2 linked regions of the Lonchura striata genome follow. The main gene of each other region encodes a partner of the protein of the gene in region 2 in a complex. Links are inferred from orthologs where the notes say so. Each region holds a gene or a part of one and is shown on either strand. Other genes may lie near its edges.

Region 1 (7,577 bases), on a different chromosome or scaffold from region 2:
TAAATTTTTTATTCTCTTCCCTGAGGCAGCGGAATGCCTTTGTTCTAGTCAAACATAGAATACAAGAGCACTACCTCGCCAAATATTGACAGCAACGTGGACACCTGGGATTCTCGACAAGGCACTAAACTTTCCAAGTGAAGCAGGTCAGCTGCTGGGTACGCTGGATGTTCAAGATTAGGCATTTTGTTAGTCCTGTAGTTAGTCACCTAAATATGCATGTCCTTTCTGAGGTGCAGAGACAAGAAAAATCTGGAAAATAAAAAGTTTTTGTTATCACTTGCATCTATACACATAAAAGGAATCTATAGAAAATCTAAACAGACATTCTAGCTCAAGAAAAGCATGTAACTATCATAGACTTAAAAGACTTGGTAAAATTGGACTTAACTACATAAGGAGTTAATTGGACTTAACTACATAACTATATAGACATTTCCACACCAGACAAAATAAAAAAAAACCAAATCAAAATATAAAGGTATACAGGATATGAGCAAATCAGTACAGTTTAGTTAACTGAGGAATTACACATTTAATTCTGATTTTATATACACTTAAAATTAGCAAGAAAATAAAAATGAGTAGCTTAGTCATAGATGATCACCTCCCTGAGCAGGGATGATGATCAGGAAGGTGATCATCAAACAACAGGAAAAGAGGTAGGACATAAGGAAAGATAAGGATGACAAAGTAATAGATCTCTGGCTGCTAACAGGAATGCTAACCCCATCTTGGAAGGAGCACAGGCATATAAAGAAAATCCAGTTGATGGTAAAGACTGGAAATACTCTTTAAAAATAGTAGGAGTCCAAACCAGTTACATAAAACTAATATTAATGGCAATTTACCTTTTAGACAAGGACTAGATAAAGAAAAACAAAGGTCTTGATTGCTCTAACACTGGGAAGGTTGGATTTCAGTGACAGAACACAAAACAACACCTCAACAATATTCTCTGCACTTCTAAAACTGCTGGAAAGATGGTACTTTTACCTGTTGTGATACAGACAACATGCAGAGAGAACTGAACCTCAACAGCTGGTTTCTGACTTTGTCAAACACAACACAACAATCAAAAAGAAAGCTTGGAAATTTCATTAAGGCAATAAAGATATCAAGTGACAGGATTATCTATATGTTATCAAGACAAAGACAATAAAACAAAGCACTCCCAACTGTTTTAAATGTAAGTATTTACAGGCATATATATTATGCTGGCTATAAGTACAACAACACAGGAAAAAAGATTAGGTTAGCAGAAGGAAATCAGAAAGAGCAAGGTAAAGGGAAAACCAACTTTTCTGAAGGGAAAATGCAGTAGTGGATTGCACTACAAGGAGGTTTGTAAATATAAATGTATTTATGGAAATACCTTAAAATAGAGTTCCTTTTGGGACAAATCTCTGGTCAGTATTTCCATAAATTTATTTGAGAAAATACATTTTCTTTTATTTTTACACTTTGCCTTCAGTGTTTTCTAAAGTAAAAGCTGGGATTGTAGAATCATCAACAGAAAAATAAATGGAATTAATGAGGAAAAAAATTATATCACTGATGATATAACTAACTTAGTACTTATATTACACCTACTTTAAAGTAATCACATCACATATAAGGACTACAGTTAGATATCAAGAAACTAAGTCAGAAGTAACCTGAAAAATATGAAAATATGAAAATATGTTTATTTATAAGTCAATCGCATACTAAGTATGGAAAGTCAAAGTAATGCTGTTGTTAGGGGCAAAAAAACCCCACAATCATATGTATCAAGCAAACTATTTCCTATACACAGAATTATACAAAGAGCCTTGGTGTATTTTACCAGCTTTGAATGAGTCTGTGCATCTTTCCACCATACCTATTCAGGTATCCATTCAAAATGGAATGAAGAAGCAAAAATCCAAATAGCTTGATTAAGTTAAAAAATTAGCTAGTTATTTCAAGGACGAAAAGAAAAAAACTATGGCAGGAGCCTCTAAAACCCAGGACAAACAAGTGGGGGAAAAGTACTAGAAAAGGCTGAAAACCTTGTGTAAATTTAAGAAAAAAAAAAAAAAAAAACAAAACCACAAAAAACAGCCCTTTTGCTCCACTGGCTACATAAGAACAGGGCTTGACTGTGTCCTAAACGCATCTGAAGCACTCCACAAAGCACTTCAGTTTTTCAAGGCCACTCCCAGGCAAACTTCCCTCCGACCGCACCGTATCTGCCAGCCCCGCCTGCTTCTCGCACACCCTGCAAATAGCAACTTCCACCACACACATTTCAGCCCGCGAAATAAAACCTACATCTCTACCGGCTATACGTAGGTGTCTCAATCTCCAACAGCACCCCATTCATGTGCTCACGATAAAGGATGCCTAGAGCAACGAGTTCACGAAATAATTAATTTAGATTAAATGGTAATGATAACAGAAGGTAAGTATCGGCCAAAGCTTGAATTCAGGGTGTTCCAGCCCGGGGAAGGTGTAGGTATGACACTAACCAGACCAGGAAGGTGCCAAAATCACTTTTCAGCTGAGACCTGAGACCTCTTCACAGCTAAGAAGAGCACAAGTTAAACTTCACGGCGGGACTTCATGATTTACTAGGATTTCTCTCAACTCACTGGTCCTAACATACCTACAGCTGGCAGCCTTTCCACACTCTAACACAAAAATAACATACAAAAATGACTGAATTTAAGAGATTAGCACGGTTCTGCGTCCCCTCAGGCCCCACAAGCCCCCCGGCCAGCACGGGCGTGCCGTGGCTCAGGGGGAATGCCGACCCCCGGCCTCCATTAGCGCGGGCTCCTTCCGCCACGCCTGCGAGGCTGAGGGTGCTCCCGGCCTAAGGGCCGGCTCAGCCTGATGCGGGTTTCGCTCCCGCACCGATTCCTACCGAGAAAGCGGAACAGAAGCAGGTCTGCCCCTTCTGCTCCTCACGGCACTCCTGCCTCCCTTCCTTCCTTCCCGCCCAGCCCGGCTCCTCTCACCGGCTCCTCACTCGCTCCCGCCGCCGCCGCGCGCCGCTGCCCAGCGCCTCGGCCCGCGCGCATGCGCCGTGGCCACGCGGGCCCGCCTGGGGCGGGGCGGCCGTGAGGGGAATGCGCCGCTTACCCCGCCGCGTGTTCCACAGGATATCCCATTTATCCTCCTGGGAAAGCCGCTGGGGCACTCTGCCGCTTCCCCCGCCGGGTGTCCCACGGGATATCCCGTGTTATCCTCCTGGGAGAGTCTCTGGGGCACTCTGCCGCTTCCCCCGCTGGGTGTCCCACGGGATATCCCGTGTTATCCCCCTGGGAGAGCCGCTGGGGCACCCTGCCGCTTCCCCCGCTGGGTTTATCCCCCTGGGAAAGCCGCTGGGGCACCCTGCCGCTTCCCCCGCCGGGTGTCCCACGCGATATCTATCCCGTGTTATCCCCCTGGGAAAGCCGCTGGGGCACCCTGCCGCTTCCCCCGCTGGGTGTCCCACGGGATATCCCGTGTTATCCCCCTGGGAGAGCCGCTGGGGCACTCTGCCGCTTCCCCCGCCGGGTGTCCCACGCGATATCTATCCCGTGTTATCCCCCTGGGAAAGCCGCTGGGGCACCCTGCCGCTGTGGGAGCCCCAGGGCTGAGCCATTTCTCCCACAGGGACAGGCTTGAGGGTGTTGCAAAATACGAAACATGTAAACTTTTCTTAAGAAGGGATGTTCTTTGATCTTTGCATGGTTTGAAATCCAATCAACAAGAAAGGAGAATTAATCTGTGAAACAGAGAATGCCTAGCAAGCTCTAAGCGGTGACCAGTGTTAGGAAGACAAGTTTGGTAGAAGTGCCGTGTTAAGGTCTAGGGCTGGACGTGTTCCAGTGATCTCAGAGCTCGGGGCAGGTTAACGAGGCTTGGGAAGAAGGATGTACTCACTAGTAGCGGGCACAAAGGATGCAGAATTTACGGGCCTCGAGGACAGTTGGCAGAACACCCGAGATAAGCAAAAAACTTGAAAAGCCAACTGTGCTAAATCAGCTCCCACTGGGTAGAAGGTAATTCCGGCAGGGGCAGACGGTGACCATGGACCCAAGAAACCCCCAGACCCAAAAGAAGAGAAAGTTTGAGCATGCAGACTAATTAGCATAAGAAGCGAATCACTAGCTAATGAATACTAATTAATAAGAGAACTCTGTAACTTGTAGGAAATTAACACTGTCTCCATTGTTTGCTAAAATGTATAAATAGTAAAAAGTTTTTATAGCAAGGTGTTTGATTTCTGGAATATCACCAAGTGCCCAGGCTTGTGCAACTCAGAAATAAATAATCAGTGTCTCATGAGTGAATAGTTATTGGCTTGTTGCACACCAGATAACAAATCTGATTTTTGTGGACAGGTGGGACCTAGCTTACACATATAAAGTGCGCATAACTTACATGTGTTCATACACAAAACTGCTTAAAGCTAGGTCTGTGGAGCCTCTGCTCCAGTCAAGCTCTGAAAATACATAACCATAGATTCAAATTACAGCTGAAGTTATATTATGCATAAGCAGTGCATACTGTATTAGAGGGATAAATGTGAAAACTGCATGCTGGGTTATGAAAACTAAAATGATAAACTCCTTCCATACTCAGAGTTGGGCGCAATATTGGTTAAATAAGTAAATAAGACTTATGTGAATCAAGGATGGCTTATTTTTAGCAGTCAGGGTTTTTTGTAAATATGCATGTACATGCACAATCATCATGGCTTGGCCTGAATAGTATTTTAGATATTGAAATATATGTTGTAAATTTATAGACTGAAACTACTGAAACCAACCTGAATGAAATTAGATAAAGAGAAGCAAAAAAAAAAAAAAAACAAAAACAAACAGAAAAAAACCCCCTAAATGATGAATGGTTATCTATACAAATTTGTGTAACATCTTGGTTTTTGGTGGGTTTTTTTAATGGCCTGCTATTTATCAGTTTTGACAAAGCATAATTATATGGGTTACTGCTGTTTACTAGTTCAGTCCACTTCTTGACTTGTGATAAAATCTTTATTTGGAACAACAGGTATGTTTTAATGTGTCATACCATGACCTATCCTTCTCAGCAGAGTGAAATACTTTTTCTTCTAGCTTTTGAAACATGGAATCTGTTGGGGCAGATTCCTCTGCATACAGATGGACCATGTTTCAGAAAAAAATCTCAAATGTAATAACTGAAAGAAGTCTCAGTGAGTCCACATTTCTATAGTGTATGTGGGAGATTAAATACTTTGGAAGCAGTTCATAGTGATGTTTGGAACTTGCGTCTTCTATGGATGACTACTGAGCAAAACTGAAGTTTGGTTTGGAGTTGAGCAAGAATCCTAAAACAAGAGGTCAGTTTTTAAATATGTAGTTTTCAATTCAGTGGTTCTGTTGGAGAATCAGTGACTCAGGCTGGAGTGACTCCCAAGGTCACTTCAACACAACATAAATCCATATTACCTTGAAGAGGAGGGTCTCATTTTCTCTGTTGTGTCCCCACTTCTGCTCATTTTCTGGTCCTAGGATTTGGGTGGTTTATAAGGGCAGATTGTTGAGGGAACCAGTCCAGTTGAAATCAACCCAAAAGATACTTCAAAAGATTACAGCCTCTCTTCCAAAATCCTGCTTATGGGACTTCCACTCCTGTCTTATTTAGCTTCTAGTCTGCAGTTCAAACAAAATACCCAGTAACAATTCTGCTTATTAATCCAAAGTGCCACCATTATTACTATGAGGTAAAACTCAAAGAAAAAAAAAATCTGTATAGCTTTAATAGTTTAAAATAATTGAGAATATTGTTATTGATTTAAATGGTGGGACTATAATGCTATGTTTTGTAGGACTTACCTGAAGTAACTACCACAGAATCCTGGACTTAAATCTGCAAATTAAAAACTATCACAGAAGACCACTGAACAGTTCTGCCATTTACTTGGGCATATCAGTGTCCATATATTCCTACAGAAAGTCTCTACTTCCCAGAAAAATTGCTTAAATTTAGTAAGTGTGACTTTTATTTTTATTCAAGAGGCCAAAACTGTTTAGTAGCAGTTGCTAGAGATAGATTTCATGCCTAAGTATAGCTGGTTATGTGTAGCATAATGAATTTCAGTTTAGATCTTTCATCAACATAGTTTTCACTGATGTCACTCAATATACATTTCTGAAAAGCTTTAAATTATTTCTTAATTTATACTAAGCTGTCACATGTCTTTTTATCTTATTATGAGCTGCTTAAATACCAAATATAAAATGAAGCAAACAGTAAACTGAGGCTTGAAACATGCATGTTACAGAGCGGGGGATAGACCTTTCTCACTGTACTTGTGGTCTGATATTTTATATTAACACTTTTTTCTTTGTGAAGTTTATTTTCAGTACAGATAATGATTAATCTTCATTCAGATTTTTTCATCCACAGTTCCAGTTCAGCATCAAACTTTAAATATAGAATATTCACTCATTTGGATCAAATCACTGGCATTCCTCATTTCTTAAACTTATGTATTTAAGTGCATTACAGGATTTATGTCTTTATATATGTCTTTCTATATATCTAAATAGAACCATGTATAGAGCACATATATATTTATCTATGTTCTGTATTTATGTAGACCTATACAGAGAGAATTATGTGTATAGAATATGTGCAGTATTTTTTTTTAATTTCTCCCTTTCTTTCCAAGATACATTTTACCAGAGGTGCCATTATGCAGGGTGCTATTGAGACCGCATCCAGATTATTTTTTAGCAGTCTCTTGCTATTCCAAAAAGTCAATTGCAGCTGACAAAAGTGCAGAAAAGCACTTTGACAAAGAGAAGGAAGAAAATATACTTTGGAAAGATGTTCACTTGAAAGCACCATTGAGATGGTTTAAGAAATGACTGCCACCACATTTCCTGCCTTGTTGGATGATACAGCTCTTTCAACAGAGCAAGTGGAAAGGATAGTGTCATTATCTACCTCTACACAAATCATCCACTTAAATTCCCAGGTAAAGATTATTTAAAATATATATGGAGTGATTTTTCTTCAAAATGGATGAAATTTCTCAAGTGACTTACCTTCTCATTGTCCTGATAATGAAACAAGAAAGTTCAGGGGTAGTTAGGCTTTGTAAACGCAGATTTGGATGAAAGGGCTTTTAGTTACATCAGGAAAAAATAGTCCCTGGAGACAGTTCTGTGGGCTGTGAATGGCAGGAACACAGTATATTCCCTTCACATCTTTTGCTGACTCCCAGTCATCCTATGCCACTGCCAAGGGGTAATGCCAGTGGTGACCTGGCACTGCTCACAGCCAGCAGGGGTTCTCTTCCACCAGCACTTGGCAGCAGAATCAGAAACTGAGATTTGATCCATAATTTCTCATTAAGTTTGCTAAAGATAGACAATGATGAATGTTTAACAATCTAATCGTTAGTGATTATAATCACCAACAGTGGATTTTCAAGGAATTAGGAGTAATTAAGCTCTTATTTATAACTCATTAATATGAAAAACAGTAATTCTATGGATTAAATACTCCCATAGTATCTAATGCAGAGGATTTTGCAGACAGAAATATGTGTTGAACAATCTAGAGTTTGAGATCTC
Region 2 (7,509 bases):
TGCCAGCCTGGAGCTGAGGGGCACAATGCAGATCCTGGGAGCCACAAGGAGCTTAAAGCAGCACTGGAAAGTTAAAAATCAGATGGTTTTTACTGCTTCTTGTAGACGCTCATTTATATATTTGTATATATGTGTATTTGCGTATGCAGATAAACCCATTTGCGTGTGTACTCATACACTTTTTAACATTGTAGTCCAAATGATTTGGACAAATTTTAAAATAGCACCAAGTCTGAACTCCCTTCTAGACAATTCATCTAGAAAATAGGAATTGCTATAATAAAGAACTTGAAATTCAAGAGAAGTCAGCACTTCTCAATTTCTTAACTGCTGCTTTTTGTTTTATTCCTTCTTTGTTTAGCTCCAGATAGGCAAAGAAAGATTAAAGCATCCTGAAAGCTCTTTCCAATGCTCTTCCAAAATTTCACCCCTAACACCAGCCTTGGTTCCTGTGCAGGCCCATTTGAAACTGATTGAGCAGTATTATTCCACCTAATAGTTCCAAAAATAAAAACAAGGAAAAGCCAATGAGAGCCTGTGGTTTCCAACGTTCAAGTAACCCTTTAAAAGAATAAGCAGGTCCTTAATGGCATAAGAGCATTAAAAAGGAAATAAATGTATCCTGTATCTTTTTATTTTTGAAAGCAATGGTAATTCTGATTTCCACTGGGACCGAACAAGAACCAACACAGGGACAACCAAACAAACCTAAACCCTGAGACAACCCAACAAGCCTGAAAGAACAAACAGAATTCCCCACTTTCCCAAAGTTTTGACAGGATTTTTGCAAAGGAAGCTCAGCCACTTTCAAAAATTTGTGTCCCTGGCCATGAACAGATGAGATTGAACTGCTTTGTGTACGTGGCCTCTTAAGCCCATAGAGAGACACTGGGACATTAGTGTCCTCCAGATGGGCACGGAGGGCTCCCACCTGGCCTGCTGCTTTCCACAGGGACCACTGGCTGCTGATCCATAAACTCATGGTGGACCTACAGACTGTATTCCAGCCACTGAGCTTCCACAAAGAAGGAATAACCATGAGAAATAGTAGGGGGGAAAAAAAAATAAATCCACTGAGAAAGTGAATGAAATAACCCAGCTGAATCCCAAGGCATTCCACCTTGGAGAGGCCTGTGACTGATGCCAGGATCTCCAGTGCTTTTGAACAAGGAGAAACACTGATCCCTCCACAGCCCAAGAATGAAATGACTCCAAGTTGTACAAGAAAAGTTCAATTATTGAAGGTATTGCATCATAAAGATTCTCCTCAAACATCCGCCTCCCTAATCCAAACAGAGACCAACTCGTGTGTCCACAAAGGAAGGAAGGCACAGCAGCAAACTCCACAGAAACATTATTAAAGTCAGGCCTAAACAGCATCTTTATGCTCAGCACAGCCATGGCAGGTCCTTGCTAATTCCAAGCTATCTGCCCTTAGAGCCACTGACCCAGAATACAGCAAAATAATTATTAATTTTGTCCCCAAAGATAAAGATCTGGAAAATCTGCAACAAGTTTTCCTAAAAGCAATCATCACCTGTAAATATCTTGATATCAGTAGCAAAAAGGTGCTTAGGAACCCCAAATAAAAGGAAACTGTGTTGCCTTTTAGTTACAGCTGTCGATAATGCACAATCTTTCCTAGAACAGGTTGAAACATTCAATTCCTTCGGTTCTTGGAAGGCTGTGACAGCAGCCAGAAGCCCCAAATTCGCCTGAGACCCCTTTGTGCTAAGCCTGCAGAAATGCAGGAATTGCCACCCAGAATCCCAGTCCCAGCAGTGCTTCCTTCAGAGGGCCCTTCCCACCCCAATCCCACAGCTCTCTCTCCAGCACAGACGTGGCTGCAGGACTGCAGGCCTATGGAAATGAAGGTCCATCAGTAATTTTATCTCTAGGATTTAAAGCAAGAAAAATCCCTGAATTATTCTGCCCAGCTTCAGAATCCTGTTCAATTTTACTGTATAGCCATATTAAACCAAACCATAGGTACTTTAAAGGCCAAAACACAAGGAGATGGTTAAATCCTTGTAATAATTACTGTATCACATCACTGTAGGATGTGGAAGTTGGGAGCAGAGCTGCAGCTCTACATACACGGGGAATGTAATCCTGCAGCCACTATAGGCTTCCATGTACAGAGGAAAGCAGATCAATGGGATCTCCGGCTGAGAAAAGCAGCACTGTCATGAAATAAAACCATGAAATTATGTCCTTCGCTCTTGGACAGGCTTTTGCTGTCCAACTCCTACCTGTAGTAAACTAAAAGGCAAATCACATGTTTAAATCATGGGTGTTTATACACAGATCTGCTGATTTTGGGGATTGTCACTGTTGAGATTTTTCCCCCACACGTTTAAACCCAAAGTTATTACAAGCAAAAATAAAACTAACAGCAAACTATCAGAAAGAACTACAGTTATGGCTGCTGCCTCCAATTCTCCATCACAACATTGTCCAGTATCAATCCAGCTCTGGTCTTCTCCTGTTCCTTACACCCCATCAAATTACAGCTCCCACAAACCCTTCCCAGCCCGACCCCAAAACTGCTGCTTCACGCCAGACACGTGGGTAGAAATTAGAAATGGGAGACAGCCCAGCATGTCAGGGGAGCTCTTTCTTGTGGGCATCCTTCAGCATGGGGCACAGTGACACACATTCTCTGCTGACCACCATTTAAACTGGGATGCCCCTCTGGAGCACACACTCATGGCCTACTCCGTGGTTCTGCACTCAGCACTTAATAAACCAAAAATAATAAGCCTAAAATAAACCAAAGCACTCCAACCGTCTTTTGGAAATTACAGAGGACATAATTAAGCCCCAGAAATAAGCAGACAACAGCAATTTCAATATAAACATCCTCCTTGTGTAGGGTACTTTCTCATTTCAACTCGGTGTTAATGCCCCAACTCTTACTTCTGGATCCTTGCAAACATCTAGAAGGCTTCTCCCAACATTTCCTCGAGCCCAGAATTTAGTTTGACATTTCAAGCCATTGCATTTTAACCCATTTCAGACGTTGGAACACGCAAGTTTCCCTCGAACCAGCAGAAAACATGGTCAGGTCAGTCCACCAGCAGCACCTGACCAACACCGTGAGCGGGGATGGAGACGCTTGGCCTTCCCAGCAGAAAGCCATGGAAAAACACATCCCGACATCTATATCCCAACAAACCATTGACCAAATATAGCCGGGCACCACCGATAACCAGGGGCTGCTACCAAACCACATCCCAACCCTGCAAACACCAAGTCCAGCTCCTGGACTGCCTATCCCTGGAAGTTGAGCTCGGGAAAGGGTCTTTGTACAAGTGGTCTTTGTACCTTCACCACCGCAGGGGTTTAATAACTCAAACAATAAGTCAAACAACGGCCTGGAACCTGGGGGGGGGCAACGCCGGGGCTGGGTGTTATCCCAGGAAAACAAGACTTTCGGGACTCGGCCGGGGCTCAGCACCCACCGCGCCACCCCGAACTTTGCCCGGCGCCCCCGCCACCATCACCCCCCTTCCCGTGCCGCTCCGGAGGGGCCCAAGGAGCATCCCCGGAGCATCCCCCGACAACAAAGCTGGGGCGGGGGGCGCCGGGAAGGGGCCCCGGGTGACAGGCGGTGCCCCCCGGGGCAAACGGGGGGTAACCGCGGGGTAAACAAACAGCCCCCCCCGCCCCGCCGCTCCCCCCGCACTCACCTCAGGGCCCCCGGGCGCGGGGAGGAAGGCGGAGACGCACACAAAGGGTAATAAAGGGGGAGGAGGAGGAGGGAGCGGCGCTCCGCGGGGCCGCCCCCAAGGGACGGGGGTGGGGGGGCGGTCTCGGTGTGTGTTTGAGGGGGGATGTGGAAGAAACTCCCCGGCGGGGCTGCGGCGGGGGCAGCGACTCGGGGCCCCCCGCCCCCGCCTCGGCGCGGCGCTGCTTGCTTCGCGTCCCTTCAGCGGCGCGAACAACCGGCCGTCCCGCCGCCGCCCCCCCCCGCGCTCCTCCTCATCGCCGCCGCCGCTGTCGGGAAGGAGGAGGAGGAGGAGGAGGAGGAGAAGGAGGAGGAGGAGGAGGAAGAGGAGGGCAGGCAGCAGCGGCGGCCGCCACCGCGCATGCGCCCCGGGGGAGCTCGGGAGGCCGCGGGGAGGAAAGGGGGGGGGAAACGGGGGGGTGGGGGGTGAGGGGGGGGGGGACGACGACTTCCCACAGCGCCGCGCGCGCCGCTCCCGGAAACGGATCCGGGATGGGGAGGAAGGAAGTGGATGAGGGGGGATGGAAATGGACGGGGAGGAAGTGACGGGAGCGGAGCGGAGGGGAGGGGAAGGGGGAAAGGGAAAGGGAGGGCAGCGGGCAGCGCGCGGTGACGTCAGGGGGGCGGCGCGCGCGCGGGCCGGTGGGAGCGCGCGTGCGCGGCGGGCCCCGCCCTCAGGTGGGGGGGGGGGGGGGAGAGGCGGGAAAGCGCCGTGAGGGCAGCGCGGGCAGGTGAGGGAGAGCCGGCCTCCGCCTCAAACTCAGCCACCGCCTCAGCCTCCGCCTCAGCCGGGCGGGACGTGCCCGAGCAGCGGAGGATGCGCCCCACCGCCCGCCCTTCATCCGCTCGGGCTCCGGCGTCTCTGAGGGAGCCGCGGTTACAGCCTGTGAGGAGGGAGCTGCGGGAGCGGTTTCTGAGGGGGATGAATGGCTGCTGGGGCGGGGGGAGGTCTTGGCTGCCCGGTGAGGGCTGAGGGGAGCGTGCGAGCGGTGGTGGCCGCCCTCGGGTGATGGAGGAGAGGCGGGACACGCCGTGAGGGGAGGACAGGTGAGGCCAGGACAGCACCCCAGGACAGCACCCCAGGACCCTCCAAGCCCTGTAGGGCCTCCCCCCATTTCCTCAGGGTCCTCCCAAAACCCGCCCTCAGCGCCCCCACAGCCTCTCATGGACCCTCCCAAGCTCTTTGAGGTATCTCCATTCCCTCATCAGGGTCGTCACGGACTCTCCCAGCCCCGAAAAATCAGACCTCCCACCTTCCCCATTCCCACAGCCCTTCCCCAGCTCCCTCATGGACACTCTCGCCCCCATCCCCATTCCTTTCCAGAGCATTCCCAGACCCTCCTAGCCCCCATAAATTCCTCACTCCAAATCCCTCAGGACCACCCCTAAACCCTTCCCAGGACCACTTCTAAGTCCCCCTCAAGACCTGTAATTCCTCTCCAAATCCCCCTTAGAGCCTCCCTCAGGCCCTCTTGAATCCCCCTCAGAACCCTCTCAAACTTCTCAATCCCATCATGATCCCCCTCAAGGACCCCCAATCCCTAAAGTTTTCCCCCCTGACCCCCTCTGAATCTACCCAAATCTCTTTAGAGACCCCCCCAATCCCCTTAGGACCCCTTCAGAGCCAGCTTGTCCAGAGAGATGCTGTGGTTAATGTTATAAACAAGGATGACCAGTTATTCCTGTAAAAACTTAACTGTTTGTCTTGATGTGTTCCCGTGTGCTTGTAGCTTGTTCCAGCTGCAGAAACATAAGGACATTATTTTAAACTGCCTAAAGCATCCTAAAGCCAGTGCTGTTTAGGAGATGTGTGTCAACATAGGTTTATCAGGAATAAATTTAAAATTATTTCAGTGTTTTTCAGCTGTTTTTCACTAGGGAGATGGACTGTTGCATCTTTATTAGTTAAGAACAGATGTTCATTACAGTACTTAAAAATGATCGACATCTAAGTACAGTTTCGGACTGGGATTGTTTGGAAATGCTTAATTAATGAAATGCTTATTTTCTCTTCTCCAAAGATGAAACATTCTGCAACAAACAAGCGAAAGTTGAAGGAGAGCAGTGCAGAAAGTGCTGAGAACATTTCCCAGGTCAGTAACACCTTTATTCATTACTTTCTTTTCACATTCTGGACCTTTTCCACCCTGTGCCATTGATATAATTTATCTTTTTTCCTAGGCCAGTTATAAAGCCTGGCAGATACAATTGTTAGGGCACTAAATAGCTTTTGTCCCTGTGTTTCAGCTTCCCACCTGTTGATTGCTTCAAGTGTTACTGTTATAATGCAGTAAAAAACTTAAAGGATGTTCTTGTACTTCTGCAACTCTTTGTGGCAACAGATTTGCCTAAATCTATTTTTGACCATTTAGGTTTTCTTATCTTCCAGTTTGTAGGGTGAGTCAGAACCCAGGTGACATTTTTAGCAACAGAACAGCAGCTGCCAAATCAGTTTTTAATTTGTTTTGGTTTTTTTAACCTTTATTCTCCTGTTTTCTCAAAGTTGCTGGTTAAAAACTGTAATGCATCTTGCAAGGAATTACCCCTGGATCAGTGATTTCCTATATGTTTTAATATCTTCTAATTGCTTTTTCTCCCTTATATAATATTTATACAATACTCTGCCTCCTGCAACTTTATTCTTACTTTCAAGACCATTCTATCCTTGGTAACAGTAAAAATGTATGTATTATAGAATATTTTCTAACACCACAAAAGCACCTAATTTGCTGTTATTTTATTGCTGGAGTTACATGATTGGTAAATTCTGGTGTTTGGAGCCCCAGACATTTTTCCTGCGCTGTGTTACATCCCTAGGTGCAAAAAATCTTACGTGAAAGATTCTGTCACCACTGTGCTGCTGGAAAACTGTTTGGGATGGAGCAGCAGTACAGGTGAGTGAGCAGGCTCTAGGATTCAGTGATTTCTAATTTAACTGCAGTGGTAAAATAGTTTGCTGAAGTCAGAACTTTCTGCCTCTCTGTTTTACTAAGTTATATAGGTTCACTTCCAACCCAGTGCTTCCAAAAGTTATTTGCCTCAGATTGTGTAGTTTTTATACAACTGTTGCCTGCTGGTTTTGTCAGGCTCTGAGTTTTGGATTTCTTGTCCTTGTTTCGCATCTCTCATTCATGAAGCACTTTTCTTTTTGATACTTTCAGTGCCAGTTCTAAGACTTTGTGTAATGGCCTGGCAGAGCAAGAAGTTACATTCTCTTGCTGTGATACTTTATTTCTACTTCAGATTTTCTCCTGTTTGTTGGTGAAATGTGCTAGAAGTAAATCCTAAAATTTCTGTGCCAACATCGTGTTTGTTGAAGTAGAGACCAATATTTAAACTTACTTCTGGAGCCATCCAGATGGGGAATTTAGGGTTAGGAAGAAGTGATTTAAGTGGGACAATAACACTGTAAAATAATCAGTACTGGGACAGATGCAGGTCAAATTCTGCAGTTGTATTTAAAAAACTAATTTTTCCAAGACTGACTTTATATAAGTGGAATCACCTGATGTGAGCACAAGTTTTCATTACAAGAGGGACAAAAACATTTATTAAAACAGTACATGCAGAGCTCACATAGGCATTTTATTGCTGTTGTGAGGAAATGTAGTTCTGTTATGTCAGTTTTACAAAACAAGCCTCCCCTGTTTATACTGGAATTCTGAAAAGCAATTTACAGGCTGTGTCCTACTCAATGTGCCACTGGTAGTGCATTATCCTGGAGGGAAAACACAGCTCTGATTTTTCCTTCCCAAGATGTGTCAGGGCTCTTGGCTGGG

What was found. Proteins that work in one complex are often made in the same cells at the same time.
Region 1: the proteins of ORC4 (region 2) and ORC5 are in contact, whole or in part, in a cryo-EM structure (PDB 7JPO), measured with the Homo sapiens proteins. The link is inferred for Lonchura striata from reciprocal best matches to the Homo sapiens genes ORC4 and ORC5. Residues at the interface, in NP_001177808.1 of Homo sapiens: Ser18, Gln21, Arg22, Arg25, Glu26, Cys29, Arg30, Gln31, Arg69, Thr74, Asn100, Leu102, Leu103, Gln104, Ile105, Ile109, Glu113, Arg116, Asp162, Arg277, Met281, Met284, Leu285, Asn288, Met311, Asp312, Ser313, Lys314, Asn316, Ile317; in NP_002544.1 of Homo sapiens: Ile17, Ser20, Leu21, Phe22, Gly23, Glu24, His26, His27, Phe28, Ser29, Phe30, Pro31, Tyr36, Gly37, His38, Thr39, Thr98, Phe99, Asn100, Val103, Arg104, Arg131, Glu134, Asn136, Pro139, Gly140, Arg143, Gln145, Glu146, Leu147.

What each region holds. Positions count from the first base shown.
Region 1 is NC_134607.1:60,494,102-60,501,678, reverse strand, and holds the start of ORC5 (origin recognition complex subunit 5), read right to left. Parts: upstream 3,043-7,577; 5' UTR 2,985-3,042; intron 253-2,984; 5' UTR 186-252; coding exon 75-185; intron 1-74. UniProt on the Homo sapiens protein: Component of the origin recognition complex (ORC) that binds origins of replication. DNA-binding is ATP-dependent. The specific DNA sequences that define origins of replication have not been identified yet.
Region 2 is NC_134610.1:2,480,127-2,487,635, forward strand, and holds the start of ORC4 (origin recognition complex subunit 4), read left to right. Parts: upstream 1-4,427; 5' UTR 4,428-4,547; coding exon 4,548-4,616; intron 4,617-4,661; exon of another isoform or gene 4,662-4,777; intron 4,778-5,751; coding exon 5,752-5,823; intron 5,824-6,547; coding exon 6,548-6,624; intron 6,625-7,509. UniProt on the Homo sapiens protein: Component of the origin recognition complex (ORC) that binds origins of replication. DNA-binding is ATP-dependent. The specific DNA sequences that define origins of replication have not been identified yet.